7 linked regions of the Macaca mulatta genome follow. The protein of the gene in region 5 interacts with the protein of the main gene of each other region in a pairwise test. Links are inferred from orthologs where the notes say so. Each region holds a gene or a part of one and is shown on either strand. Other genes may lie near its edges.

Region 1 (3,939 bases), on a different chromosome or scaffold from region 5:
TCTTACCTAAGACATTCTTCATCCTTGGTAATCACACTTTCATGATCCTGTTTCTTTTTTTTTTTTTAAGCAGAGTCTCACTCTGTTGCCCAGGCTGGGGTACAGTGGCACAATCTTGGCTCACTGCAACCTCTGCCTCCTAGGTTCAAGTGATTCTCCTGCTTCAGCCTCCCAAGTAGCTGGGATTACAGGCACGTGCCGCCATGCCCGGCTGATTTCTGTATTTTTAGTAGATATGGGGTTTCACCATGTTGCCCAGGCTGGCCTTGAACTCCTGGCCTCAGGTGATCCACCTCCCTTGACCTTCCAAAGTGCTAGGATTACAGGCATGAGTCACTGCGCCTGGCCTCGTGATCTTATTTCAAACTTAGATCTTTTTGCCACATGTTCCTACCCTCTCTATTGTATTTTGTATCACAGTGTTAGATTATACTTCCATTTCATTATTTCCCTAAGTTTCAAACTCTTTATATCAGGGTTTCCTAGTGTTGGCTCTACTGACATGTTGGTTTAGATAATTCTCTGTTGTCTGGGGCTGTTCTGTGTGTTGTAAGAGGCTTAGCATTAGCCTTGTCCTCTCTACCCACTAGATACTAGGAGCACCTCCCTGAGTTATAACAACCAAAAATGTCCCAAGACATTGCCAATGCCCTCTGGGGCACAAAATTGGCACTGGTTGACAACCACTGTCTCATTTTAGTATTAAAAACAAAACAAAAAAGTTCTATATAATTTGGTTCTCTTTTACATCTTACAATTAGTAAAGGTCATTTAGACTCAAGAAGAAAAGGTTAGGGGCGTCTGTCTACAGAATAAAATCTCAATTCCAGAGGTTGAGATTCAAGGTCCTGGACACTATCTCAACTCTTCTACTCAGAATTCACCTTTCCAACCTAACTGGGCTTTCTACTACTCAAAGAAACACAGAACCCCACCCTGCTCTCCTCACTAACTTTCCATTGTACTCCCACATCTCATTCCCCTGAAATAGTTAATTTTTCCATTTTAAAACCCTGTAATGGAGTCAGAGCAATGGATATATCTGCAAAACCTTAATTCTTAATTATTTGTATTGCGCAACAGAGTGATGCCCCTCCAAGAGACTGCTTCCCATCCTGCTACTTTCATCTCTCTGATACCTTCTCTTGTCTTAGAAGTTTTCTAAGATGAGCAGCATATTTATCAAACAGAATTTTGTAGCTTAATAGAGAAATATAAAATCCTTCCACAGAAAAGTTATAAATAAGTTGGGACCACATTAGCCAACTTTCCCTGAAACTCATGCCCCTTTCTGATGCATCAAACTGTCAAAAAACATGCTTTGTGAAAAAATGGCTGTTCTTCACTCTGGCCTAGAAATCCACAATTTATCTTTTCTCAAACAGAAGTCACATCTTTTTTCTCACCTGCTCTCCTGGCTCATCCAATTCTCTCTCTAAATCCTCCAGCACAGTCACCACCTCCTCGCCACTCTCTGGATGCTGCTCCTGCACCCAGGCCTGGAGCTCCTCAGGTAGGATGGTCAGGAACTGCTCCAGCACCAGCAGCTCCAGAATCTGTTCTTTGGTGTGGGTCTCTGGCCTCAGCCACTGATGGCAAAGTTCTCGGAGTCGGCTCAAAGCTTCACGGGGACCAGACGTCTCCTGGTAGCAGAACTGTCTGAAGTACTGACGGAAGACCTCTCTGCTATGGGTGTTGTTTTTATGCAGGTCCCAATCCTGTCTGGTGGTATACTTCTTCTCCTCTATCTTTACTTCCAAACGTTCATCCTGGTCCATGTGGGCCTGGATAGCCCAAGTAGATGCCATTTTAGCTGTGCCAGAACTACCGGTGTTTCAAGTAAGATCTCCCCTGGAAAATTTATTCCTGGACAGTCCTGAGGAATAAGCCATCATTATTAACACAAACTCCACCATAAAGTAAAATTGCAAATTCTGAGAACTATGATCTTTGAAATCTGGCCTCCAGGTTAATGTACGATACTTACTCAGAAAAATACTCTGATAGAAAAGACTTAAGATTAGACCAATTTAAAGAGAAAGACTAAGGAAAGGTGCCAAGTTGTTTCAGGACATTAAGAAGAAGAGTAAGACTTGTTAGTAAACTTATTCTCATTTGGTCCTAAATGAAAGACAAATGGAATAAAACTAACATTTAGATCAAGTAAACAATAATGATAAAAGGTTAGGACATCCTTGATTAGTTACTTTTATCTTTTGAATGTCCAGATGTCTGGTAGAAACCATGAAATCACAAAAGCAACAAAGTCATGTAAATTTATTTCCTCAGGGACTTAAACTTTCCGCTCCTTATTCTTCATTTATAAAGTGAGAAGCCTGAAGAGGTTACTCTTTAAGCCTTCCCTCTATCCTCATGGTCTGTGATTATAATCTGAAGTGAGGAAGGCCCTGGGACGCCGGCCAGCGTCTGTGAACCACCACTGTCTAGAAATGTCGGTACGCGCTGAACCCAAGGATACAACGCCGAGGCAAACGCGGAAGGTAGGTATGGGCCTTACAGCACGGAACTGCTGCAGACTGGGAGCCGATCCCTCATCCTAGTCTCCCAGCGCACTTTGGGGAGGGAGAGCTTCCCGCGGATCCACCTGGGTTTGGGAGGACCAGGGTCCATTCTGCACCGGCCAGAGCCGAGGGGCCCAGCAACTAGAATACAGCAATCTTCCGCCCACCTCCTCGCAGCATACAGAGCACAACATCGCTCACCTGCGGCCCCCCGGGCCAGAAGAGAACTCCCCCCTAAAGGCCTCGAACCCTTTTGGGACCCGGAACCCATCAAAAGTGACCCACAAAGTCCGGAAGCGGCCACAGGAGGGCTGAGAACCAACCCGCGTGGGGCGCACTTCCGCGGCCGCTCTAGGAAGGGGGCGAAAGGGGCTTTCAACTCGGTAGTAGTGTTTCCGCGCGTCTACGTGAGAGGAAGGGTGATGATGGCTCTCAGACCCGCGGGTAAACGGAACGGGTTTATCTTTCTCCTCTTCTTTACTCAGCCATTGTCCACACTTCCCCCGGCCCGATGGGTGGTCAAGGCTTGTAGAACTGATCTTAAGACAGGGAAATCCCTTGCGTCTCCATTCACTTTGGGATTCTGTGTCTCTGAGGTTAGAGATGCCTCAAAGGGATGTTCTCGGGGGACCTTCTCCCGGGGAGCTTCCCAAATCCGCGCTTAGCGGTGGCGTAGGGATTTCTTCCACACAGACTTCTCAAGGGCCAGCGGGCTGGTTTCTGCCGGCTATTTCGCCATCCACGATCCTCTTGATGTTCTCTTTTATGCGCCGATGTATGATTATATGTCAGAAAACCCGGTTCAATGGAAAAACTATTAAAAAAAAGGATAATTTAGTAAATTAGCAAGATATAAAGTTAACACACTAAAATCAATGGCCTTCATATATGTGAATAATCAATGATAACGAGTTACGAGATATAATGGAAGAGAAGACTATATTTACAATAGCAACAAAAAATTGAAACTAGGAATAAACTTAACAAGAAATGAACAAAACTTCTATGGAGAAAGCTTTAAAAAGCTCCTAAAAGGCCAGATGTACATTTAAACAAACAGAAAGCAATATGCGGTTCTTAGAAAGACTCAAAGAGGTCAATCCTCCCTAAATACGTATGCAACTCTAGTATTCCAACAAAAATATCAACAAATATTGTTCTGGAATTAGATAAACTGATTATAAAGTTCAAGTGGGAAAATAAGAATAGCCAGGAAACCCATGAAAAAGAACAATGGTGAGGGTCAGCCTTATCAGATACTGGAACATACCCATATGATTTTATTGTATTAACAGAGAGAAAGAATAGACCAGAAATAGATCCAGGTATGTAAGGATATTGAGTAAATGATGAAGGGGACACCACATGTCAACAGAGAAATGAAGAACTTAGAAGTTGTGCTGGGATGACAACCATT
Region 2 (4,044 bases), on a different chromosome or scaffold from region 5:
CAGGAGGCTCTCATGAGCCAAGGAGCTTGAGGCTGCAGTAAGCTATGATCACACTCCTGCACTCTGGTGTGGGTGACAGAGCGAGATCCTGCCTAAAAATAATAACCAGTAATTATATTATAAACATACAACCAAAAACTTCACGGTTTAATACATTTGCACAGAGGACCGATAAAGGGTTCTATAGAACAACTAGGTTTTTTAATAAAGTGTGCGGATTTGAATATTTCATTTTCAAACAACTGTTTTTTTTTTTTTTTTGAGACGGAGTCTCGCTCTGTCCCCCAGGCTGGACTGCGATGGCGTGATCTCGGTTCACTGCAACCTCCGCCTCCCGGGTTCAAGCGATTCTCCTGCCTCGGCCCCTGCCACCAGGCCCGGCTAATTTTTGTATTTTTTTTTCTTTAGTAGTTTCACCATGTGGGCCAGACTGGTCTAGAACTCCTGACCTCGGGTGATCCACCCGCCTGTACCTCCCAAAGTGCTGGGATTACAGGAGTGAGCCTCCGCGCCCGGCCTCAACCAACGTCTACTGAAAGAGTTTAAATACTACCTTCTTTTTCAGAACAGGGGAACATAATGGGTAAAAGGGCACACTTTACTTCAAAAGTAAATTTGTTTATTAATAAATTAAAGTAGCTTTCCACAAAACAAGACGTTGAAACAATAAGGTGTGATAGGTCTTTTATTTATTGTACAATTATTTTGCACTACTATGTGTCACACACCGGACTTAAGACGTTTGTTAAGACGTTCAACTTCTCTAAAACTTAGGATAAGATTTTCAATTAAATTTACCTGTGTCTATTACATTTGTCTTTCATTTTTGCCTGAGTAGCTGGGAAAACACATTAGACAGGTTCCTTAAAAACTAAAGTAAACTTTGAAGGAAGGAGTAATTTCGGTTTACACTAGTGATAACTCGCAACAACCCCAAACACCACATTCACTGTCTCTTACAAGGCATTTTATGTTACACCAATTACTAGTTTTAGCTTCATCCTACTACGACTTGAAGCCTGGTAACTCGGCAGGCATAAGCAAACACACAAAAAGCATATTAAAATCCACAGGAAAAAAAGCAAACTATTCTCAAACAAAACATGCTTTGCTGGAGCCGATTTGAGATTTAACCAGGATCAGACATTCCAAATTGCAATACTGTTGCACCAGAATGTCATGCAATAAATTTTTCCTGAATCCTCTTTCCTTTCCTCAAGCAAAATTTACCAGTAAGGGAGAAAAACGCAATCCAAACTGTGAGTAATTTTCAAATATTTGTTTATAGGGCCGGGTCCGGTGGCTCACGCCTGTTATCCCAGAACTTGGGAGGCCGAGGTGAGTGGACCACCTGAGGTCAGGAGTTCGAGACCGGCCTAACCAACATGGAGAAACCCGGTTTCTACTAAAATACAAAAATTACCCGGGCGTGGCGACGCATGCCGGTAATCCTAGCTACTCGGGAGGCTGAGGCAGGAGAATCGCTTGAACCCGGGAGGCGGAAGTGGCAGTGAGCCGACATCACGCCATTGCACGCCAGCCTGGGCAACAGGAGCGAAACTCCATCTCAAAAATAAATAAATAAATATTTAAAAATTATAATAGGCGCTTTAAAATGTAGTTTAAACTGTTCCTTTCAATTCTGCGTGAAGCCGTCCCGCCAAAAGATGTCCTGTTGGTGGGAAAAATTAAACTAGAAAACATAAACGGTTCAAAAAGCCCTCCATACGCAAAAGTATAAAAAGGCGGGAATTTCCTTAATTCAAATTTTGGTTAGAAATTAGTGTGTCATCAGTTGCCCTCCAGGGAGCGCTGTGAGACTCTGCTGCGAGTCATTTCAGTTAATAAAGCGGGAAAACGCTCGAACTTAACCTATAGCATTTTGGGGCCACCCCTCCAGAGCTTTCGAAAGGCCACGGAAGTCCCCGTCTAAACGCCCGCTGCCGGCAGCTGGTGGTCCAGGGAAGCCGCGTCGCCCGCGTGCAAAACAACCGCCACCAACGCAACTCCACACCTCCCAGACACACACGTCAAAGAACGCGAATCCCGGTGCCCCAACTTCTGGCCTCTCCGCTCCAGCGCCTGCAGCCCCGCGGGGAAGGGGCAACGCGAGGGGGCGCAGGGACAGCCCCGCACCTGGGAGGCCCAAGGGGGCGCCCGGGAGGGAGGGGCTGCAAACGGCGGCGAGCGCGCGCGGCAACCGCCAAACGCCCGCCTTTGTGGCCCCGGCCCCGCGTCCTTACCCTGCCGACGGCTGCTCGGCTCCGGCCCGCGGCGGCGGCCACAGAGCCGAGAATCGGCGTGGGCTCGCGTTCCTCGTCACTGGAGAAGTCCGGGGGCCCCTTGCTGTTGGCGCCGGCGGCGAGCGGCGGCCGGTTGCGCGCCGTGAGGTGCTGCAGGTAGAGCTGGACGTACACGTCTTTGCGCTGCTCCCCAGCCGGCAGCGTCACATTGTTGGCGACCAACTCACTCTTCAACTTGTCCTTCGTCAGGACCGAGGGGTCTTCCAGGAAGTCCGGCATCTCGGGGATCTGCGAAGCCCCCTCCCCGCAGCCTTCGCTGCCGCCGCTCACGCCGGCGCGCTCGCTCCTGGCCGGGGGCCGCGCTGCCGCCTCCGAGCCTCACGGCTCCTGCCCAGTAGGAGCGCTGCGGAGCGGAGCAAAAACTCGCGGACACAAAGCCAAGCCAGACCCGGACACAAAAGACCCCAGAGCCGAACTACGGACGAAGTGCAGCCAAGCTGGAAGCCCGCACCAACCCCAGCCTACACACTACAGGCAGGAGGCGAGCAGCTTGCTTCGCCCACGCCCCAAGAACGCGCGGCGCCATTGGCGGGCGACGGGAGGAAGCGCGGCGGTGATTGGCGGGACGGCCCGCGCGGGTTCCATTAGCCGCCGCGCTGAGCGAGAGGAGGTAGAAACGCAGTTTAAAAGGCGCTGGGGCGGGAGCCGAGGCGCCCGGCCCGCTTCTGTTTTCATTTTCTCCACCCTTCCCCTTAGACGCCGATAAGGGACAGGTCGTACTGCTTTTGTGCGCCGTTTCCTCTCCCTCCCCCAGCTTGAGAAGCAGCTTTCGTCTCTGGGGTCGATCGCCTACGAACCGGCCGAATTCCACGCCGGCTGTGAGGACCCTTGTCTGGGCCTTTCTTCCTCCCGGGACACTGAAGCACCGAAGAGTAGCCGCAGCCTTGCCTTCCCCAAACGCTAGCCATGAAGGGGAAGAAAAGAAGCGAGACTTGTCTGCAGGCACTCATATTCCTTGATTTGATTTACTTTGGGAGGGGGAGGGCAGGGAGTTACCCCTCTGTCTACTCGCGAACGCTTCTTTTGTTCCAGAAACCCGGGAGAAGCCAGACCTCTACCATCGGGCACTTTACCCTTGAATTTGTGACAAAAGTGTACTATACCGTTCACTTCTTAGTCTCGTAGTTGGGGCATGTCTAAATTGTTTAATTTGAACAGTGCGTTGAGACTCAAGACAAATTCGCGCTTGCATTTTTGTTGAAACCGATCCTGGCTTTGGATCCCACTAACGTTTGATAACAAAACGAAGCCGAACCCTTGGGAACCCCCTCAATGGTCAATTTAAAATAGCAGATGTTGCGTAATCCTAAAGGAAGCCTAGTGACCTATAATTAGGCCGAGAACCCTAATCAAACCCGTATTACTAATCCAAATTAAAACCTGGTAGTGACTGCAATTAAAATGTTTGCCTGAAAATTAGTATCACTGATGACAAATATTTGTATTTCTGATGAATATGTATGATTAAAGATTCTAGAAAAGAAAGGAGACCTTGGATCAAGAATGTGTTAATAATTTCCCCAGAATCTGAGCTCCAAACTATATTTTAGAAACTGATTACATTTTTTTTGGTTTGCCTGCTTTCTACACTGTTAGGTTAGAATATATTTAAAACAAACGCTTTCACTAAAAATGTTTCCTATGATTTAAGCGACTTACTTTTGTTCAAATTGAGGAGATACTTCTTTTAGTGATATTTTCCTAGAGGTAACTAGTTTATAAAAATCTCAGTATCCATATA
Region 3 (3,500 bases), about 74 Mb from region 5:
TGTATGCTTTTCTCTTCTAGAAGCCACCAGTGTCCAACAGAAGGTCAATTTCTCTGAAGAAGGTATTTTATTTTTAAATATCATACAATATATATTTGAAGTCTTTTTCTTTACATTAGAAGCCATTCTGATAGATACTTAAGAAGTGAGAACACAGCCGGGGACTGTGGCACATGCCTATAGTCCCAGCTACTCAGGATGCTGAGGCAGGAGGATCACTTGAGTCCAGGAGTTCTGGGCTATCTGTAGTGTGCTATGCCGACCGGGTGTCTGCACTAAGTTTGGCATCAATATGGTGGCCTCCCGGGAGCGGGGGACCACCGTGTTGCCTAAAGAGGGGTGAATCCATTCAGTTCAGAAACGGACCAGGTCAAAACTCCCGTGCTGATCAGTAGTGGGATTGTACCTGTGAATAGCCACTGTACTCCAGCCTGGGCAACGTAGTGAGACCCCATCTCTTTAAAAAGTGAGAACAGAAAATAATGTATTTTTCTTCATGAAAAAAAATTCATGCTTATCTAAACTGTTAACTGGGCAGAAATAATAGGAAAGATAGAATGAGTGATGACAGCCTTACATTTTAAGCATCTTTTGTCTATTTGGGTTCATTTTAAGCAAAGGTAATATTTGCTATTATGGTATTAAAATAATCAGTTTTCGGCCGGGCGCGGTGGCTCAAGCCTGTAATCCCAGCACTTTGGGAGGCCGAGACGGGCGGATCACAAGGTCAGGAGATCGAGACCATCCTGGCTAACACGGTGAAACCCCGTCTCTACTAAAAAAATACAAAAAACTAGCCGGGCAAGGTGGCGGACGCCTGTAGTCCCAGCTACTCGGGAGGCTGAGGCAGGAGAATGGCGTGAACCCGGGAGGTGGAGCTTGCAGTGAGCTGAGATCCAGCCACTGCACTCCAGCTTGGGTGACAGAGCGAGACTCCGTCTCAAAAAAAAAAAAAAAAAAATCAGTTTTCCAAATTCTCATAATCAGTTTATGTTTGAAAAGTACAGGAGTAAAATTTAGTTTTTGTTGAAGCCCAGCATAATCTGAGGGTGGTCACCTGCATAATAGAATGTTTGTGTGCAGGTGTGTATACACTACCCCTCCACCACCAACACACACACACACAAACACACATCTGAATTTAACTACACACTAATTATATGTAGTTTTCCTCCCCATAAACTTTTTCCACTGTTTAATGCTCATCTGTTCATTTTTGACTCCACATTAAAGGCTTAGAATATAGTTTTTTAGATATTACTGTGAATATTTGTTTAGGAAAGTATTATGTGCCCCAGAGAACACAAATTGAGCTAAATTTTAGTTCATTTGGAACTTTGGGATTCAAAATAATAAGCATGATAAACAGCAGATCTGTATCTGATAACCTAAAAGCCTTCTCTTAATGTTAAATTACTTGCTTGTTTTTTTAAAATTCAGATCTTTTGAGCATTAAAATAAGAGTATACTAGTATATTGTTTACTTCTCTTTAGGAGAAACTGAAGAAGATGATCAAGACAGCTCTCAGAGCAGTGTCACTACTGTTAAGGCCAGATCCAGGGATTCTGATGAATCTGGAGGTAACGTTGCTTTATATACATATGACTCTTCTCATAGAACTATCTTTGGTATTCCATGAATTTGCTTTTTAAAAAAAAACTTTCATATTTTTATTACTACTTCATAAAAAGTGAATTTTTCTTTTACTATTTATTAAAATTAATTATTTCATGTATAGATCTGATTAATAATATGTCATGACATCTAAACAAATCACTTTTAGCTTTTTTTGATATTTGTGGAAAATAAGATATTTTTGTGTTCAAAGGAATTTGTTGTTTTTGAATTTTATAGAGAAACTAATCACATTGCCATTGGAACTGACAACACTATCTGGAGTGTTACTTTTAGGAAGTTTTCATTTAATTAGATAACTACCTTTATCTCTGGATTTTCAAATTCAAACCAAGTTATTAATTAACAAGTTCTGATTGTTTATGTGAATTTAAGTTCATTCAGTGAAAGAGTTGACTAAAGACTAAAGAGAGAAAAATACCAGTTTGAGGCTTAAGATAATGTTGAACAAAAAAGATAATGCTAAACAAATTTGTAAACTCTGTAAATAATGAGTAATTTTATACTTTAGTCCTGCACTTTCCCCTCACCACCTCCTTAAAATTTCTGTAATTCCAATTCTTTTTTTTTTTTTTTTGAGGCGGAATCTCGCTCTGTCACCCAGGCTGGAGTGCAGTGGCGCGATATCGGCTCACTGCAGCCTCTGCGTCCCGAGTTCAAGTGATTCTCCTGCCTCAGCCCCCCGAGTAGCTGGGATTACAGGTGTGCACCACCACACCTGGCTAATTTTTGTATTTTTAGTAGAGACGAGATTTCACCTTGTTGGCCAGGCTGGTCTTAAACTCCTGACCTCAGGTGATCCACCTGCCTCTGCCTCCCAAAGTGCTGGGATTACAGGCGTGAGCCACCATGCCTGACCTGTAATTCCTATCCTTTACTTCATCATTTCACTTCAAAAATAAGTACATAAGGCTGGGCACAGTGGCTCACATCTGTAATCCCAGCACTTTGGGAGGCTGAGGCAGGCGGATCACAAGGTCAGGAGATAGAGATCATCCTGGTTAACACGATGAAACCCCGTCTCTACTAAAAATACAAAAAAATTAGCCAGACCTGGTGGCGGGCACCGGTAGTCCCAGCTACTCGGGAGGCTGAGGCAAGAGAATGGCATGAGCCCAGGAGGCGGAGCTTGCAGTGAGCCGAGATTGCGCCACTGCACTCCAGCCTGGGCAACAGAGCAAGACTCCGTCTCAAAAAAAACAAAACAAAATAAAATAAAAATAAGTACATAACCTGGTTTTGTTTTTGTTTTTTATTTTTTTGAGACAGGATCTCGCTGTATCACCCAGGTTTGAGTACAGTGATGCGACCATGGCTCACTGCAGCCTCGACCTCCCAGGCTTAAGCAATTCTCCTGCCTCATCCTCCCAAAGTGCTGAGATTATAGGTGTGGGCCACCATGCCTGGCATTATAAGCCAGTTGATGGGCATTTGGCATTCTGTGTATTTCCCACCCTTCCTCATTTTTCCTATGTATTTTTGATATAGAAATGGAGATTTGTAACACGCTGGTAGTGTCTAACCAGAATTCCTGGGTTCCATTCCTTCACTTTTTAGCTGTTTGCCCTTAGAGAGTTATTTAACTTCTGTGTTCCTCAGTCTCGTCATCTGGATTGTTGTGTTAAATTAATTCATATATGCAAAACATTACCTGGCACATAGTAGACACTAAGTGCTATTACTAGTGTTCATACGTGTTACATGAAGCTCTAAAAATCAGAGATTAATTAAACCATTTATATAGCCAATAGTTTGCTGCCATTGCTACCAGCATAACTATTTGGAAGTACATAAACCCCAGGTCCTGTGATCATGCCATCGCACTTCAGCCTGGGCGACAGAGCGAGACTCCATCTCAAAAACA
Region 4 (3,500 bases), on a different chromosome or scaffold from region 5:
ACACCCATGAAGTCGGGTAAGGGCTGTGAAGAAACACATCAAATAGGAAGGGGCATGTGACCAGATGGTGACAGGGTGCCACCTTTAGATGGGATGACTGGGGAATGCCAGTCATCCTGTCTGGGGACATTCTAACTTAGAACTGTTGATGTGAGGAAAGAGGAACCTGTATTATCTGAGGAAGCATAGGCAGCACCTGGCAAAAGCTCTGAGGTGGGAATGAGGTTGGAGGGTATTTCTTGAACACTTCCACAAGCAGAGAGGAGAGGGGGAGACTGGCAGGACATGAGGCTGGAGAGGGTACAGGACCCTCGGTCATGGCAAGGATGCTTATCATCTGGAATACAGGGTTGGGGTAGCTTGAGACACTGTGGGGACCTCTGGGTGACCCCCGGCTCTCTTACGCAAGTCCAGTTCCTTCCGCAGGGCCTCACAGATGGTCCGGGCCTCTCCTAGGTCTTCATTGGCTTTCTTTTTGGCTTCACCAGAGAGCAGAAAAACATTGTGTGAGTGCAGCTTCTATTCTCTTGCCAACAGTGACATTTCTCATTTGCCTTCAGGAAAATCTATAGTGGCCTAGATTTTATACAGTAGGAAACGAGGCTTCCAGAGTCCAGGCTCTCCTTGCCAGGCTCTGCTGATAGCAGGGCTAGGATCATGGGTATATTAACTATGGCAGTTGCATGCTGAAATGCCCTGTACTTAATTTAAGGCTCTGCTGCTGCTGTTGTGAATAACCAGTAACTTTGGAACAAGGGACCCTGCATTCTCATTTGGCACTGAGCCCCGCAAACCATGTAGCTGGTACTAGCTGGCAGCCAAGGCCCCTGAACTCACCTTGCTGGGCCTCATTAATCCGGTTAATCAGGACCTCAACTCGGGGCTCTAGGCTTCCCACTGCAGGGAGGAAAGGAGGTTGAGTTGACAGGGCAGGCAGAGGTGTCTCTGCTGCTTTCACGCAACACAGATCTATTCAGTACCTACTGAAAGCAGGTGCTGTGTGGGGCCCTCACAGGGCTCATGTTCTGGGTGGGCGAGACTGGGAACAGACACAATAAGATACTGAGTGGGGCTGTGGTAACTGTGTTCAAGAGAAATAAAGTAGGGCAAGGGGGGTTAAAGCGCAAAGGAGTGGAAAGCGCTCCTCAGATATGGGAAGGTATCATGAGAGCCCCAAATCAGGTGGCGGGGGGCAGGCCCTGCAGCTCTTTGGGTTGGGGTGGGAGGTAGTCAGTGCAAAGACCCCCTCTGAGGTGGGAACATGGCTGGCAGGAGCCTAGTGAGCAAAGAGGGAGTAGGGGTTGAGGGGAAAGGAAGGGAAGTAAAGGTGGCAACTTCTGGATTTAATGGACTGCAGTGGAGCCAAATGGGTGACCAGCAAGAGGTTTGGGACAGGGTTTTGGGAAAACACTTTGCCTTCCTTACCCTTTTTCCTTCTTTAATTTTGAATCATGGGACCCGATTTTTAGTTTAAGTAATTAAGTTTTAAAAGAAAGAGAAGATGAAGAGGATTATTTCCCAAGTTTATACATTGTGGGGCTGGAAATTGAACCCACATCTGCTTGGCCCCAAATCTCAGGCTGAGCCTCACACAAAGGAGACACATGACCTTTCTGCAGCTTTTTCACCATTTCCATCAAGTCTTCAATTTTCTGTGAGGATGTGTCCTGCCCTGTGGAGACAAAACCAAATATTTCAGAATCAAGCAGGGCGAGAGGCCAGAGGAAGGATCTGACAGCCCCTGGGCTGAGACTGAGGTAGACTGAGGGCAGGTCTCCAGCCAGAGTGGTAGCCCTGCTCCTTGTCCTAAGGTGAACAGTACACTAGATGAATCAGGCTCCTTCATGGTCAGCTTTTCCCTGCAGGATAAAATTATACCAGGCAGCCCTTTGTAAAACTCTGGGTGAGGGCAGGGGTATACTCTCACTGCTGAGGCTGTTCAAAGTAAGGTCAAAGCTCCTGATATAATAATTCAAGAAAAAAAATGAAGGTATAAAAACCTGGAACAAGGAGTCAAAAATCACTGTAACTAGCAGATGACATAATCTAGGAAGTTCTTAAGAGAGTTTTCTATAAAACCATAAGGATTAGTAGCAAAATGCCTTAGGATGTTAGTTTAAAAACATACATAAATACAAATAGCTTTCCTATATACAACCAATACTAAACCTGAAATCTCCCCATAAAATATTTCATATTAATTTTTTATAATTATTGGAACCTATTTTTAACACTAAAATTAGTAGATCTAAGAAATTATTTATGGCATTAACATTGTGAAAGGAAAATAAATCTTTTTATAAATATTTGAAAATAAATCAATTCAAAGTTACCCTCTGCTGAGATAGATGCGTATCTGATTTTGTAAAATAAAAATCTGAAAATAAATGAATTCAAAGTCATCTCTCTGCTCACTCAGATAAATGCATATCTGATTGCCTCCTTTGGAAAGGCTAACCACAAACTCAAAATAATGCAACCATTTGTTTTTTATCTACCTATGATCTTGAAGTCAACCTCCCTGCTTCAAGTTGTCTCATCAATGCTTTGAGGTGACCCACCTTTCCAGATCGAACCAATGTTCATCTTACATATGTTGATTCATGTCTCATGTCTCCCTAAAAAGCATATAAACCAACCTGTGCTCTGACTACCTTGCCATCCTGGGCACATGTCATCAGGACCTCCTGAGGCTGTGTCGCAGGCATGCATCCCTAACTTTGGTAAAATAAACTTCCTAAATTGACTGAGACCTGTCTCAGATTTTGGGGTTTCACATTTTGGCAACCACAAAGGGATTCTGAGTAGAGGTGCTCCTGACCTTTGACAAATATTCTACCAGTGCCTGCTAGCAGCTTGGCTATCTTTGTGGCTCAAACTAATTTGACAAGTTGCTGAGGTCTGGAAGTCCCCTATCCAGGGAATCCCTCATTTCCCAAAATTCGTTCGAAGGCCAGAGTTTATTTTCTGAACAACTCTTCTCTTTTTCTGGAGTTTTACTTGCTTTCAACAAGGAAGGCAAGTTTTCCTGCTACCATGAAAACTCATTTCTGGAGTTTGAACTCGCTCCCAACAGGAAAGACAAGTTTGAGGGTTTTTTTTTCCTGCTTCTAAGATGATAGAGACAAGTCTTCAGCCTAAGACCCGTCCCTAGGTAAGTAACTGAATTGGGGTTTGTCTTGGCTAAAGGTAAGATTAACAACCAGCTGCTCTTAATTTTTCCTTACCATTACAGTGTTCAGTAATCATACAAGTTGTGTGATCATTTGTTTGTTACGCTTAACCGCTATTTTTTTTGTTGTTTCTTTCTGTTTTTGCTGTTTTGGTCCTTTTCCCATTGGGTTTGGCCAATTCTATCTGACTTGATCAAATCCAAAGGAAAGTTCCAAATTATGTGGAACAAGGCCTCTGAAGTGGCTAAATTCCCATCAGAAAAGTGGTGGTGGGGGAAGAAAAAACGGCCAGTAAAAGTAAAAAAGGGGGAGAAGAGTTTTGATTTT
Region 5 (4,129 bases):
GGGACCAGAATAGGGGCCAGGATGAGGGGAGGGGAGTGGAAGGCTTATCAAAAGGGTCCTTGGTGAGGCCTGAGGATGGAGGCTCCAGAGCCTGAGCTAGCGAACCCTGGGGACCTGGGTGATCTCGTTTTGTGAGACAGCCTGGCCCCTCCCCAGAGCCAGCTGCAAAATGGACCTGGCCAGAGAGGAAAGTAGAGATGAATGTGGTGCTGGCCTTTGCAGCCAGCAAGGCTGTGGGGTCTTTGCTGTTCCTGCCCCCCACTACCTTCTTGCCCCCTACTACCTTCTTTCTGGCTGAAACCAGGATAGAGACCCAACGTTGGCTGTCCAGCCCCCAGCCCTGCTCCCCCTTTCAGGCCCCTCTGGGAACCACAGAAATCTGGGACCTAGTGTCCTGGCAACGTAATGAATGCACACACAGCTCTGGTATCTGTTTTAAATTATCCATTAAAATAAGTACAGTTCTGGGGGAAAAAAATTAAGTTGACTGGGTGGGGTAAGCAGTAGAAAGGGACTGAAGGGGGAAGGAACCCAAGCAGTGCTTGGGTCCAAAGGAAGGGGACAGGAGATGGAAGGGGGAAGTGCCTGGCTCCTATTCTTGGCCTTCTTTAGGGGACTGTGGCTTGTTGCTTGGGTCTAAAAACGAATACTTGGTTTTGAAGGGAGATATATTGGGGCAAAAGAAAGCAAAAAAGGGACCCCCAAACTCCTTGATCCCTGGCCCCAAATTGGGGGCATAAAGGAACTCAGGTTCCAGAACTTTGTTCCCCCCAGGGAACCCAGGCATTCCTTCTCCACCCCACTCCTGGCACACTGAGATGCAGCTCTGAATGGGCTGCCCACGTGTGGAGGGGGGGTTGGGGTGACTCACTATTACTACTGGGAGGACAGGGGGAGCCAGTGGTGGAAGAAGGGTGAGTCACACTGATGGGCACCAGCCTCAGCCCTCCCCCCACTTTCCTGGCTCCCAGCCCTGCCTGCCTGACCCTCTCCCTTGCTTTGCACCCACTTCCCTCTCTTTCTCCCCCACCCTTTTGCCCACCCACTCTCCCTCCTTGGCTCTGCCCTCTAGCCCAGAAGGTCTGAGGCAATGGGGGCAAGCTTGGAGCCGGCAGTACTGAGCAGCCAAGAGAGGGGAAGCTTAAGCCTCACGCAGTTAGGGGTGCGCTGGAGAGGGTGGGGCTCGACTCCGCCACACCCCAACGGTCTTTCCCCCTCCTCACCACTCCTGCCCCCACCCCCATGGATCTGGGACTGCCCCTTTAAGAGCAGTGGCCACTCCTCCCTTCAGACGAGGACCTATTAGAGCCTTTGCCCCGGCGTCGGTGACTCAGTGTTCGCGGGAGCGCAGCACCTACACCAGCCAACCCAGATCCCGAGGTCCAACAGCGCCCGGCCCAGATCCCCACGCCTGCCAGTAGCAAGCCGAGAGCCAGCCGGCCGGCGCACTCCGACTCCGAGCAGTCTCCGTCCTTCTGCCCGAGCCCCGAGCCCTTTCCGGGACCCCTGCCCCGCGGGCAGCGCTGCCAACCTGCCGGCCATGGAGACCCCGTCCCAGCGGCGCGCCACCCGCAGCGGGGCGCAGGCCAGTTCCACTCCGCTGTCGCCCACCCGCATCACCCGGCTGCAGGAGAAGGAGGACCTGCAGGAGCTCAATGATCGCTTGGCGGTCTACATCGACCGTGTTCGCTCGCTGGAAACGGAGAACGCAGGGCTGCGCCTTCGCATCACCGAGTCTGAAGAGGTGGTCAGCCGCGAGGTGTCCGGCATCAAGGCCGCCTACGAGGCCGAGCTCGGGGATGCCCGCAAGACCCTCGACTCAGTGGCCAAGGAGCGTGCCCGCCTGCAGCTGGAGCTGAGCAAAGTGCGTGAGGAGTTTAAGGAGCTGAAAGCGCGGTGAGTTCGCCCAGGTGGCTGCGTGCCTGGCGGGGAGTGGAGAGGGCGGCTGGCCGGCGCCCCTGGCCGACTGCAGGAAGGGAGTGAGAGGGCCTGGAGGCCGATAACTTTGCCATAGTCTCCTCCCTTCCCGGAACTGCCCCCAGCGAGTGACTGGCAGTGTCAAGGGGAATTGTCAAGACAGGACAGAGAGGGAAGAGGTGGTCTCTGGGAGAGGGTGGGGGGGATATAAGGAATGGTGGGGGTATCAGGGACAAGTTAGGGCTGGGGCCTGCCCGAATTCGGTCAGATTGGGATTTGCCAGCTATTTGGAGCCTGCGGGAGGGGCTTAAGCAAAACAGAACTAGCCCTGCCAGCTCGAAGAACTCTGGGCACCCAGGACACATATGAGTAGCAGAAAGGGTCCTGTTAGAACTTTGTTGGCGGGCTTGGCACTGGTGCCAGCTTTGCCCAAGCTGGCTCTGAACACATGATGCCCACTAAGACATGACTCCCAAGCTGGCATCTGTCCAGCGTGTTGGAGAGAGGTGAGGAAGGCAGGGCAATCCCCCTTTTCCCTCCCGAGGGCTTGGCGGTGGCCCCCTCGGCATGACCTTGTCCGGGGTTCTAAGGGTTGGGAAGCTGTCCCTCACTCTGCCACTCTGCGTGTCTGGGACCTTCCTTGGGCTCTGACAGGCCCACCAAAAGAGCTCCCGGAGATGGGAGATCGGGAGATTGGCTCCCCCGCAGCTCCCACAGCCCTTGGCCTGCTTGGCCCAGGAATGCAAGGGAGGGAGGGAGGCAGAGGGCAGAGGCTCCCAGCTCAGGAAGTTGTGTTATGCCCAGGTCTGGCCGCACTCCTCCCTTGGCCCACTGCCTAGTGTCTTCGAGGGTTGGGGGCACTGTCCTTCCCTCCTTGGAGTGAGCCACTTCCATTTTCCCAGCCAGGCCAGGCAGTCTTTGCTCAGGCCCATCCTCTTAGCTGCTGACGTTTTGATCTTTGTCTTATTAAAGTGCTGGAATACAGTGACATTTTTGAAATCCAGCCGTTGGAAGCTTCAGGCCACTCCTACTTTACCCACCCCTGCCCCACCCTACCCCACCCTGCTCAACTCCACCTTCTTCTTTCCTAAAAAAGCCTTGGGAGCTTGGAAGTATAGGCCTTCCTCTTCCAGTCCCCCCAAAATTTGGTTCCCTTCTTCCTGCCTTCCCTTTCTCTATGCAGACCCAGGCTAAGAGCACTAACAGGGCTTGGAGAGCCATAAAGGGCTGTTGGCTTTGACTTCTTCTCTCCCTTTTATCAACTACTCCAAACTTCTGCTCTTCCCAAAACCCTTTGCTAGGTGTGGTGGGTGTGGCAGATCCATCGCCCTTTTTTTTTTTTGAAAATGGAGTTTCGCTTTTGTTGCCCAGGCTAGAGTGCAATGGCACAATCTCGGCTCACCGCAACCTCTGCCTCCCAGGTTCAAGCGATTCTCCTGCCTCAGCCTCCCAAGTAGCTGAGATTACAGGCATGTGCCACCATGCCGGGCTAATTTTGTATTTTTAGTAGAGAAGGGGTTTCTTCATGTTGGTCATGCTAGTCTTGAACTCCCAACCTCAGGTGATCCACCTACCTTGGCCTCCCAAAGTCCTAGGATTACAGGCGCGAGCCACCACGCCGGGCCCATAGCCCTTCTTTCTGAAGAGTCAGTGGAAGTTGTGTGTAGGAAAACAGGCTCAACCTTTTTTTCTTTCTTTCTTTTTTTTTTTTTTTGAGACAGGGTCTCACTCTGTTACCCAGACTGGAATGAAGTGGTGCGATCTTGGCTCACCGCAACCACCACCTCCCAGGCTCAAGAGATTCTCCTGCCTCAGCCTCCCGAGTAGCTGGGATTACAGGCGTGAGCCACCACACCCAGCTAATTTTTTTTTTTTTTTTTTTTTTTTTTGTATTTTTAGTAGAGACAGGGTTTCACCATGTTGACTAGACTGGTCTCAAACTCCTGCCTTCAAATGATCCACCCACCTCAGCCTCCCAGAGTGCTGGGATTACAGGCGTGAGCCACCATGCCCGGCCATCAACCTTTATTTTGTTTTTTTGAGACGGAGTCTCGCTTTGTTGTCCAGGCTGGAGTACAGTAGTGTGATCTCGGCTCACTGCAACCTCTGCCTCCTGGGTTCAAGCCATGCTTCTGCCTCAGCCTCCCAAGTAGCTGGGACAACAGGTGCCTGCCACCACACCCAGCTAAATTTTGTATTTTTAGTAGAGACG
Region 6 (3,500 bases), on a different chromosome or scaffold from region 5:
CTCTGCTGTGTGTCTGTGTGCCTGGCCCTTGGTGACTGTCCGTGTTTCTGTTCCTGTCATTGTAACTGTGACTTTTCTCTCTGTCTGCCCCACCCTTCCTGCTGGTTCACGCTTCTCCCCCATTCCCGCCCTCTCTGCCCGGCCTCCCGCTCCCGCCCTTTCTCCTCATGCACCCGGCCTCGTCTCTGTAGTCTCTGCACTTGTCTCCCATTAAGGTCCCATCCATGGGGGGGCGGAAGCGGGAGCGCAAGGCTGCCGTCGAGGAGGACACCTCCCTGTCGGAGAGTGAGGGGCCCCGCCAGCCCGATGGGGATGAGGAGGAGAGCACAGCCCTCAGCATCAACGAGGAGATGCAGCGCATGCTCAACCAGCTGTGAGTCCGCAGGCCGTGCTCCCGTAGCACCGATGCCACAGCAGCCCAGGAGGCCGGAGCTCCCCAGTCCCCTGCCAGGACGAGGCCCCGCCCGCCCTGACACCCGGGTTCCCTGTCTCTAGGAGGGAGTATGATTTTGAGGACGACTGTGACAGCCTGACTTGGGAGGAGACTGAGGAGACCCTGCTGCTTTGGGAGGATTTCTCAGGCTATGCCATGGCAGCTGCAGAGGCCCAGGGAGAGGTAACCTCTGCTCCCGGCCTCAGGGCCCTCTGGCTCTGCCTCTCCAGCCTGACGCCCACCCCCCCGCTCCTCTCCTCGCTCTGTCCCCCCATGTGGCTGTCATCCTCTACCTGCGTCTCCCCTCTTCCTTTATCCTTTTGCTTTTCTTTCTCCAGTTTCTTTAACCGGACTTCCTCTCTCTCTCTCTCTCTCTGACTTGGCCCTTGGAATGCGCCCTATCCCATCCCTCCCTGGCTGGCCTCCCCTGCTTCCCTTTCTACTCCAGCAGCAGGAAGATAGCCTGGAGAAGGTGATTAAAGATACGGAGTCCCTGTTCAAAACCCGGGAGAAGGAGTATCAGGAGACCATTGACCAGATAGAGGTAAGGGCAGGAGCGGAAGCCAGGGGCACAGTGTCCCAGAGGGTTTTGAGTGGGGCTGCAGGTGCAGTGGCCTCATCCCTCCTGCAGGACCCTAGAGACCAAGGTCTTGGGAGGAGGAGTGATCTCTCAGCTATAGTCCTTCTGGTGGGCTCTGAAGACCTCAGGCTCTAGAAGCAGAGAGATGTTGGTTCAAATCTCAGCTCTGTTACTTACAACCACTCTGAACGTGTAACAAGTTACTTGTTCCCTCTGAGCCCCTTCCTTCCTCCCTTCCTCCCTCCCTCCCTCCCTCCCTCCCTCTCTTCCTTCCTCCCTTCCTCCCTTCCCCCGTTTTTCTCTCTCTCTCTCTCTTCCCCTCTCTCCCTCTCTCCCTCCCTCCCTCCCTCTCTTGTCTTTCTGTCCTTTCTTTTTTGAGACAAGGTCTCACTCTGTTTCACTCTGTTGCCTAGGCTGGAGTGATCCTCCCACCCCAGCCTTCTGGGTAGCTGGGACCACAGGTGTGCGCCACCACACCCAGCTAATTTTTATTTTTTATTTTTTGTAGAGATGGGGTCTCCCTGTGTTTCCCAGGCAGGTCTTAAACTCTTGGGCTCAAGTGATCCTCCTGCCTCGGCCTCCCAAAGTGCTAGAATTAAAGGCACGAGCCATGTGTCCTGTCCTGTACCTGTTTCTTTTTCTTTCTTTCTTTCTTTCTTTATTTTTTTTTGAGACAGGGTCTTGCTCTGTCACTCCAGGCTCACTGCAGCCTTGATCTTCTGGATCCAAGCAATCCTTCTACCTCAGCCTCCCAAGTAGCTGGGACCACAGGCGTGTGCTACCACGCCCGGCTAATTTTTTGATTTTTTACAGAGACAGGGTCTCACTATGCTTTCCAGGCTGGCCTCAAACTTCTGGGTCCAAGCAGTCCTCCTAACTCGGCCTCCCAAAGTGTTGGGATTACAGGCATGAGCCACTGCGCCTGGCCTTTTTATTTGTAAAATGAGGAATTTAATAGTACCTCATCTATAGGGTTGTTTAGAAGAGCGGATGAAATAATGCACATATGGAGCTTAGGGCAGTGTCTGGCTCATAGCGAGTGTAGCATAGTGGGGACCATTTTATTATTATTAACACTATCAGTGCCATAGCACTGAGACGGACCGGGACTTTCCTGTTTCTTCCACTCAGCCGTTGAGATAACAGAAGTCTCCATGCTTTTTCCCAAGCCTTGAAGTACCTTCTAGAGGTACCTAGAGGCAAGTGGAGCTGGTGCTTTAACTCAAACTCTAGGCTTTAGGACCTGCAAGAAGGATTTGTGGAGGCCGGGCACGGTGGCTCACGCCTGTAATCGCAGCACTTTGGGAGGCCAAGGTGGGCGGATCACGAGGTCAGGAGATCGAGACCATCCTGGCTAACACGGTGAAATCCTGTCTCTACGAAAAATACAAAAAAAATTAGCCGGGCGTGGTGGCGGACACCTGTAGCCCCAGCTACTCACTACTCGGGAGGCTGAGGCAGGAGAATGACATGAACCCGGGAGGCAGAGTTTGCAGTGAGCCGAGATTGTGCCACTGCTCTCCAGCTGGGTGACAGAGCAAGACTCTGTCTCAAAAAAAAGAAAAAAAAAAAAGGAAGGATTTGTGGAACCACAGAATGGAGGTTGCTGTGGGAGGAGGGATGGACGGGACCCCTGTGAGCTCTCCTGGCCTGGTGAGATGGTCCTTTCCCGACGCTCTGACTTGAGGAGAGGCATGGAGCCTTCTCTGACTCTCAGCCTCTCTTCAAGCCCATGTGGGAGATTCATACAGTAGTGCCCTCTTACCTGCAGGGCATGTGTTCCAGGACCCACAGTGGATGCCTGAAACCAAAGATAGCACTGACCCCCGATAGCTTGGGTCCAGGTGCTGTCAACCGGAACGTGTTTCTGTTCATGTCTTCCACCCACACATTCAATGCTTTTTCTCTCTTAACTAAGACTTAGCATGCGGTGTGGCAGTACCTTTTGCAGTTCGAGGTGTGACAGCAAAACTGGCACAAACTTCTTTTTCCTTCTTTACAATTTCACGGATAGAAGATTCTTACTATAGACCTTAGTAACCTCAGTATCGGATTCTTTTTCTTATTAAGTTGAAAACTTTTACCTTTTCACTTAAAGGGAGCACATTTTGGCTTCTCTTTGGCATATCCAAATTGCCAGCATCACTACTCTTGTGCTTTGGGGCCATTATGAAGTAAAAGTAAGGGTTCCTTGAACACAGGCCCTGCGATACCATGACAGTCAATCTGATCACTGAGATGGCTACCAAGTAACTAATGGGCAGGCAGTGCAGACAGTGTGGATCCTTGGGACAGAGGGAGGGTTCATGTCCCGGTCTGGATAGAGTGAGATTTTTTTTTTCCCCCAAGATGGAGTCTCGCTCTGTGTCGCCCAGGCTGGAGTGCAGTGGCGCGATCTCGGCTCACTGCAAGCTCCACCTCCCGAGTTCACCCCATTCTCCTGCCTCAGCCTTCCGAGTAGCTGGGTCTACAGGCGCCCGTCACCAC
Region 7 (4,008 bases), on a different chromosome or scaffold from region 5:
CATCTGAAAAAGACAAACGAAGAGAAACTTTAATAGTTACCTAACAGAGGTATTGTAGATAGCCCTGAAACAGACTCACAATTTTGTGGGCATTCAGAGAGTGACAAAGGTACAATTTCAAATCAGGGTAGAAAGGATGGCTTAAAATTAATATTATTGGGTCAATGGGCTACAAAATTGAGAATTGAATTTAAATCATTTACAGCATATGGAAAATAAATTTCGGATGGATTAGAGCTCTGAATGTAAATTTAAGCCTATAAGAAAATTAGAAAAAGTTATAAGGGAATTATAGATTAATTATTTTGGTGCGAAAGTCTCCCCAAGTCATGTAAGAATGATAAATCTGATTACATGAAAACCTTACGCTTCTACACAGTGAAAAAAAAATTAAAAGACAAGTCAGAGACTGAGAGAAACATATGTGACTCATAAATCAGACCAAGGAGACAGGGCGAAGACATGGAGACGTGAAGTAGGAGGTGTGCTCAGGAAAATAGTTAAATGTCATCCACGTACAGGATAAACGGCTTCCCACGTCATGTCCCAGAAATCGATTAGTCGATGGGATTTGGGTGATTGCTTTCTTCTGTTTTTCCTGAATTTTTCTCTTTTTTATTTCTTTCCCTTTCTTCTTTCTCTCTTTCTTTTTTACAATGATGGTGTGTTTGTAATCGACATTTTAAAAATTCTATAACAATTAAATTTGGGGGCGGCCTTCCCTTGTTTCCCGTATGGAGTGTTGATGTTTCAGCAGCTTTATTTGGAGTTTACAAGTGGAAGCACCTGGGTTTGGGGCTTCCTTTGTGTCCCCAAGACACCTATTGCAGGAGTGAGTCCTAAGCAGTAGAAAACAGATGCATGTGCAGGGCTGGATGAAGCACTATGGAGCCTGTGTGAGAGGAGGCACGGGCGCTAACACAGGAGCGCACTTCCTCATTCCGCTTCTTCTCATCCTCTCTCGCAGTGCCATTGTCATCACTCATCCCATCCGGTCATCCCAAGTCACACGCAAGAGTTCGTTCCCGGCGCGCGCGTCAGCTTGACTCGCGCGTCTCCACGTCCGGGACCCGCAGGGGAACGCCGCCGCCCCGTCCGGTCGCTTGTTGTGTTGTCATCACGTGGCCTGGGCGGACCCTGACGTCAGTGGCAGGGGAGGGACAGCGCAGGCGCAGAAAAGGGGGCGGGGGACTCGGCTTGTTGTGTTGCTGCCTGAGAGCCTGAGACGGTCCTGCTGCTGCCGGAGCCCTGCCAGCTGTCCGACGATGTCGTCCCACCTAGTCGAGCCGCCGCCGCCCCTGCACAACAACAACAACAACTGCGAGGAAAGTGGCCAGTCTCTGCCGCAGCCGGCCGGCCTCAATAGTGAGTGAGGGGCCGAGGGCTTGGTGAAGGGGATGGGGGAGGAGGAGCCGCCCCGGCCGCCGCCACCGGCGCGGCGCGGGAGGCGGGAGGAGAAGGCAGCTCATTGGCCCAGGCCGGTGATGTCCGGGTGACTGACAGCTCCCGTCACCTGTCAGGAGGATGGGCGCCTGCCTTGCTCCGGGCCTCTCTGTTGCCTCCTGGGGTCATGGGCCGGGGCCGTTTGGGTTCGCGGTCCGGGAGCGGCGCGGGTAGCGCGGATCCCACTGGTGCTGGGGGTGGTCCCCAGCAGCGGAGCCGGGCGGGGCGGGGGCGGGCCTGGGGGGCGGGGAGGCCAGGTGGGCGGAGCGGGCCGCGGAGGGGACGTGGGCCGGAATGGGGACGTGCGGCGGGGACGCCGGGGGATGGACGCGCGGGAGCGGGGCGGGGCGGGCGGATGCCGCGGGACGTGTCTGGGATCAGGTGTGCGGGGCCCGCGGGCGGGCAGCGTCTGGCGGGCTCGGGAGCCCCCAGCGAGCATTCCTTTGTTGCCACATGTTTGTCAGGAAAATTCATTTGCTGGTCTAGGGGCTTCAGTCACGTGTGGGGTGAGAGGCTGTGCCTTGCTTCTCCTTTTTCCTTTTTTAATTTTTTTTTATTAGCTTTCTCGAAGTTGCCCAAGTGATTTTTTTTAAGCGATGAGGTTGTGCGCCCAGTAAACCTGAGAGCAGCCTCCTGAACCACCCGGGACTGCACACGTCAGGGAGTCTGGGGCCATGCATTTAAAGAAACGGAATTAAAAACGCACTCGGGCAATTGAAAGTTAACGGGCAAGGCTGATGGACAACCCAGGCCAGGGTCTTTTCATAACATTCCACTGCCCAGACATCTTGTCCTCAGATTGTTCCTGGTCGTGAGAACCGGGAGCCTTCTTGGAAGGGTTCTTGCCTAACCTTTCTTTAATTCAACTCTTGGGAAAGAGATAATGGGGGTAGCGAGCATATGGCCAGATGAAGGCTTTTCAAAACCGCTTGGATGCTTAAAGGTCATGCAGTATCTTTCGTAAGAGGGAGATGCTTCCAGCGTGGCCTGAAGATTATTCTAGGGAAGAGAGTTTCAGCCGTCACCAGGTAGCAACGGAGTTTGGAGATTTTAAGACGGATGCTGCTGCTCCAGGTTTTTTGATGGGTTAATACCCAAAACCTTTAAGTGTCCTACATTCCAGAATGTAAGACGGTTATGTTATTTCCCACAGTAAATTAGGATGAATGTCTGAGTCATTAAACGTTACTCGTATCACATATTCCTATGCAATTTTAAGTTATTTGCCCATGTTTAGCATACTGTCTTAGGTTTGAGAATGGGAAAAACTTCAGAGCTAGCTAACTGCCTCCTGTTGTTTACCTGTAGAGAAACAGGTCTAGAGTTAAGAGCCTGGTCCAAGTTCACAACTGGCTGGGAGCAAAGCGGAGGTTGTCATGTTCAGCCTGTCTACTGCTGTTTTCAGGGAGGGCTTTTTTTTTTTTTTTTTTTTTTTGAGATGGAGTCTCGCTCTGTCTACAACCTCCACCTCCCAGGTTCAAGCGATTCTTCTGCCTCGGCCTCCTGAGTAGCTGGGACTACAGATGCTTGCCACCCGCCCAGCTAATTTTTATATTTTTAGTGGAGACGAAGTTTCGCCATGTAGTTGGGATTACAGGCGCCCGACACCAACCCAGACTAATTTTTGTATTTTCAGTAGTGAGGGGGTTGGTCTCTCACCATGTTGGCCAGGCTGGTCTCAAACTGCTGACCTCACGTGATTAGCCCGCCTGGGCCTCCCAAAGTGCTGGGATTACAGGCTTGAGCCATCACACCCGGCCTCTTTTCAGGACTTCTTTTCAGTGGTCCAGAACCTCCTGCTGGTCTGTGTGTCTTATTTTGTCAGTGTGTTATTCTACCTAATTCACAAAGGTGGCCCACCTTTCTGTTTCTTTTTAGTATTCTGTTTCTTAATTGTGCAATTTTCTTATGAGTGAAGATACTTGGTAGGTGTACATGATTTCACTGAAATCTAAGGGATTTTCATCTTCCTTTGACCCTTTAACAACAACAACAATAAGGGCTGAGCCAGGCAGGGCGTGGTGGCTCATACCTGTCATCCCAGCACTTTGGGAGGCCGAAGCGGGTGGATCACTTGAGGTCAGGAATTCGAGACCAGCCTGGCCAACATGGTGAGAGACCAACCCCCTCTCTACTGAAAATACAAAAATTAGCTGGCCTGTCGGGCGCCTGTAATCCCAGCTACTCAGGAGGCTGAGGCAGGAGAATCGCTTGAATCCGGGAGGCAGAGGTTGCAGTGAGCTGAAATCGGGCCACTGCACTCCAGCCTGGGTGACAGAACGAGACTCTGTCTCAAAAAAAAAAAAAAAAAAAAAAAGGGCTGAGCCATATGTCATTGTTTATCTTGGAGTCTGACAGACCTATGAGGAGTTTGATGTCTTTGGCCAGTCGGTTCCTGCTTGGTTGACATCAACTCTTACAGAGGTGGAAGTACTCAGCCTGCATGGGATATCAAAATGTTGCTTTGGGAAATCTAGATAGAAAATATTTTACGTGGGATAGGGTGAGCTTTCTGAAAAGCTTTTAGATAATGCCATATTTAATTACTCCCCTCTTTCCTCTTAA

What was found.
Region 1: the proteins of LMNA (region 5) and ZSCAN12 interact in binary tests that used the Homo sapiens proteins (3 or more experiments, as listed by UniProt). The link is inferred for Macaca mulatta from reciprocal best matches to the Homo sapiens genes LMNA and ZSCAN12.
Region 2: the proteins of LMNA (region 5) and TMPO interact in a two-hybrid assay, tested with the Homo sapiens proteins (2 studies listed by BioGRID, with this or other methods). The link is inferred for Macaca mulatta from reciprocal best matches to the Homo sapiens genes LMNA and TMPO.
Region 3: the proteins of LMNA (region 5) and TOR1AIP1 interact in a two-hybrid assay, tested with the Homo sapiens proteins (2 studies listed by BioGRID). The link is inferred for Macaca mulatta from reciprocal best matches to the Homo sapiens genes LMNA and TOR1AIP1.
Region 4: the proteins of LMNA (region 5) and SYCE1 interact in binary tests that used the Homo sapiens proteins (3 or more experiments, as listed by UniProt). The link is inferred for Macaca mulatta from reciprocal best matches to the Homo sapiens genes LMNA and SYCE1.
Region 6: the proteins of LMNA (region 5) and IFFO1 interact in binary tests that used the Homo sapiens proteins (3 or more experiments, as listed by UniProt). The link is inferred for Macaca mulatta from reciprocal best matches to the Homo sapiens genes LMNA and IFFO1.
Region 7: the proteins of LMNA (region 5) and BNIP3L interact in a two-hybrid assay, tested with the Homo sapiens proteins (2 studies listed by BioGRID and IntAct). The link is inferred for Macaca mulatta from reciprocal best matches to the Homo sapiens genes LMNA and BNIP3L.

What each region holds. Positions count from the first base shown.
Region 1 is NC_133409.1:154,944,812-154,948,750, reverse strand, and holds the start of ZSCAN12 (zinc finger and SCAN domain-containing protein 12), read right to left. Parts: upstream 2,801-3,939; 5' UTR 2,724-2,800; intron 1,877-2,723; 5' UTR 1,809-1,876; coding exon 1,407-1,808; intron 1-1,406. UniProt on the Homo sapiens protein: May be involved in transcriptional regulation.
Region 2 is NC_133416.1:105,806,526-105,810,569, reverse strand, and holds the start of TMPO (thymopoietin), read right to left. Parts: upstream 2,801-4,044; 5' UTR 2,523-2,800; coding exon 2,244-2,522; intron 1-2,243. UniProt on the Homo sapiens protein: May help direct the assembly of the nuclear lamina and thereby help maintain the structural organization of the nuclear envelope. Possible receptor for attachment of lamin filaments to the inner nuclear membrane.
Region 3 is NC_133406.1:37,306,566-37,310,065, forward strand, and holds part of TOR1AIP1 (torsin-1A-interacting protein 1), read left to right. Parts: intron 1-20; coding exon 21-62; intron 63-1,494; coding exon 1,495-1,581; intron 1,582-3,500. UniProt on the Homo sapiens protein: Required for nuclear membrane integrity. Induces TOR1A and TOR1B ATPase activity and is required for their location on the nuclear membrane. Binds to A- and B-type lamins. Possible role in membrane attachment and assembly of the nuclear lamina.
Region 4 is NC_133414.1:145,685,461-145,688,960, forward strand, and holds part of SYCE1 (synaptonemal complex central element protein 1), read right to left. Parts: intron 1,673-3,500; coding exon 1,610-1,672; intron 898-1,609; coding exon 838-897; intron 480-837; coding exon 405-479; intron 1-404. UniProt on the Homo sapiens protein: Major component of the transverse central element of synaptonemal complexes (SCS), formed between homologous chromosomes during meiotic prophase. Requires SYCP1 in order to be incorporated into the central element.
Region 5 is NC_133406.1:110,815,755-110,819,883, reverse strand, and holds the start of LMNA (lamin), read left to right. Parts: upstream 1-1,329; 5' UTR 1,330-1,540; coding exon 1,541-1,896; intron 1,897-4,129.
Region 6 is NC_133416.1:7,497,169-7,500,668, reverse strand, and holds part of IFFO1 (non-homologous end joining factor IFFO1), read left to right. Parts: exon of another isoform or gene 1-191; coding exon 192-373; exon of another isoform or gene 374-495; coding exon 496-616; exon of another isoform or gene 617-881; coding exon 882-977; exon of another isoform or gene 978-1,144; intron 1,145-3,500. UniProt on the Homo sapiens protein: Nuclear matrix protein involved in the immobilization of broken DNA ends and the suppression of chromosome translocation during DNA double-strand breaks (DSBs).
Region 7 is NC_133413.1:28,123,808-28,127,815, forward strand, and holds the start of BNIP3L (BCL2/adenovirus E1B 19 kDa protein-interacting protein 3-like), read left to right. Parts: upstream 1-1,208; 5' UTR 1,209-1,265; coding exon 1,266-1,365; intron 1,366-4,008.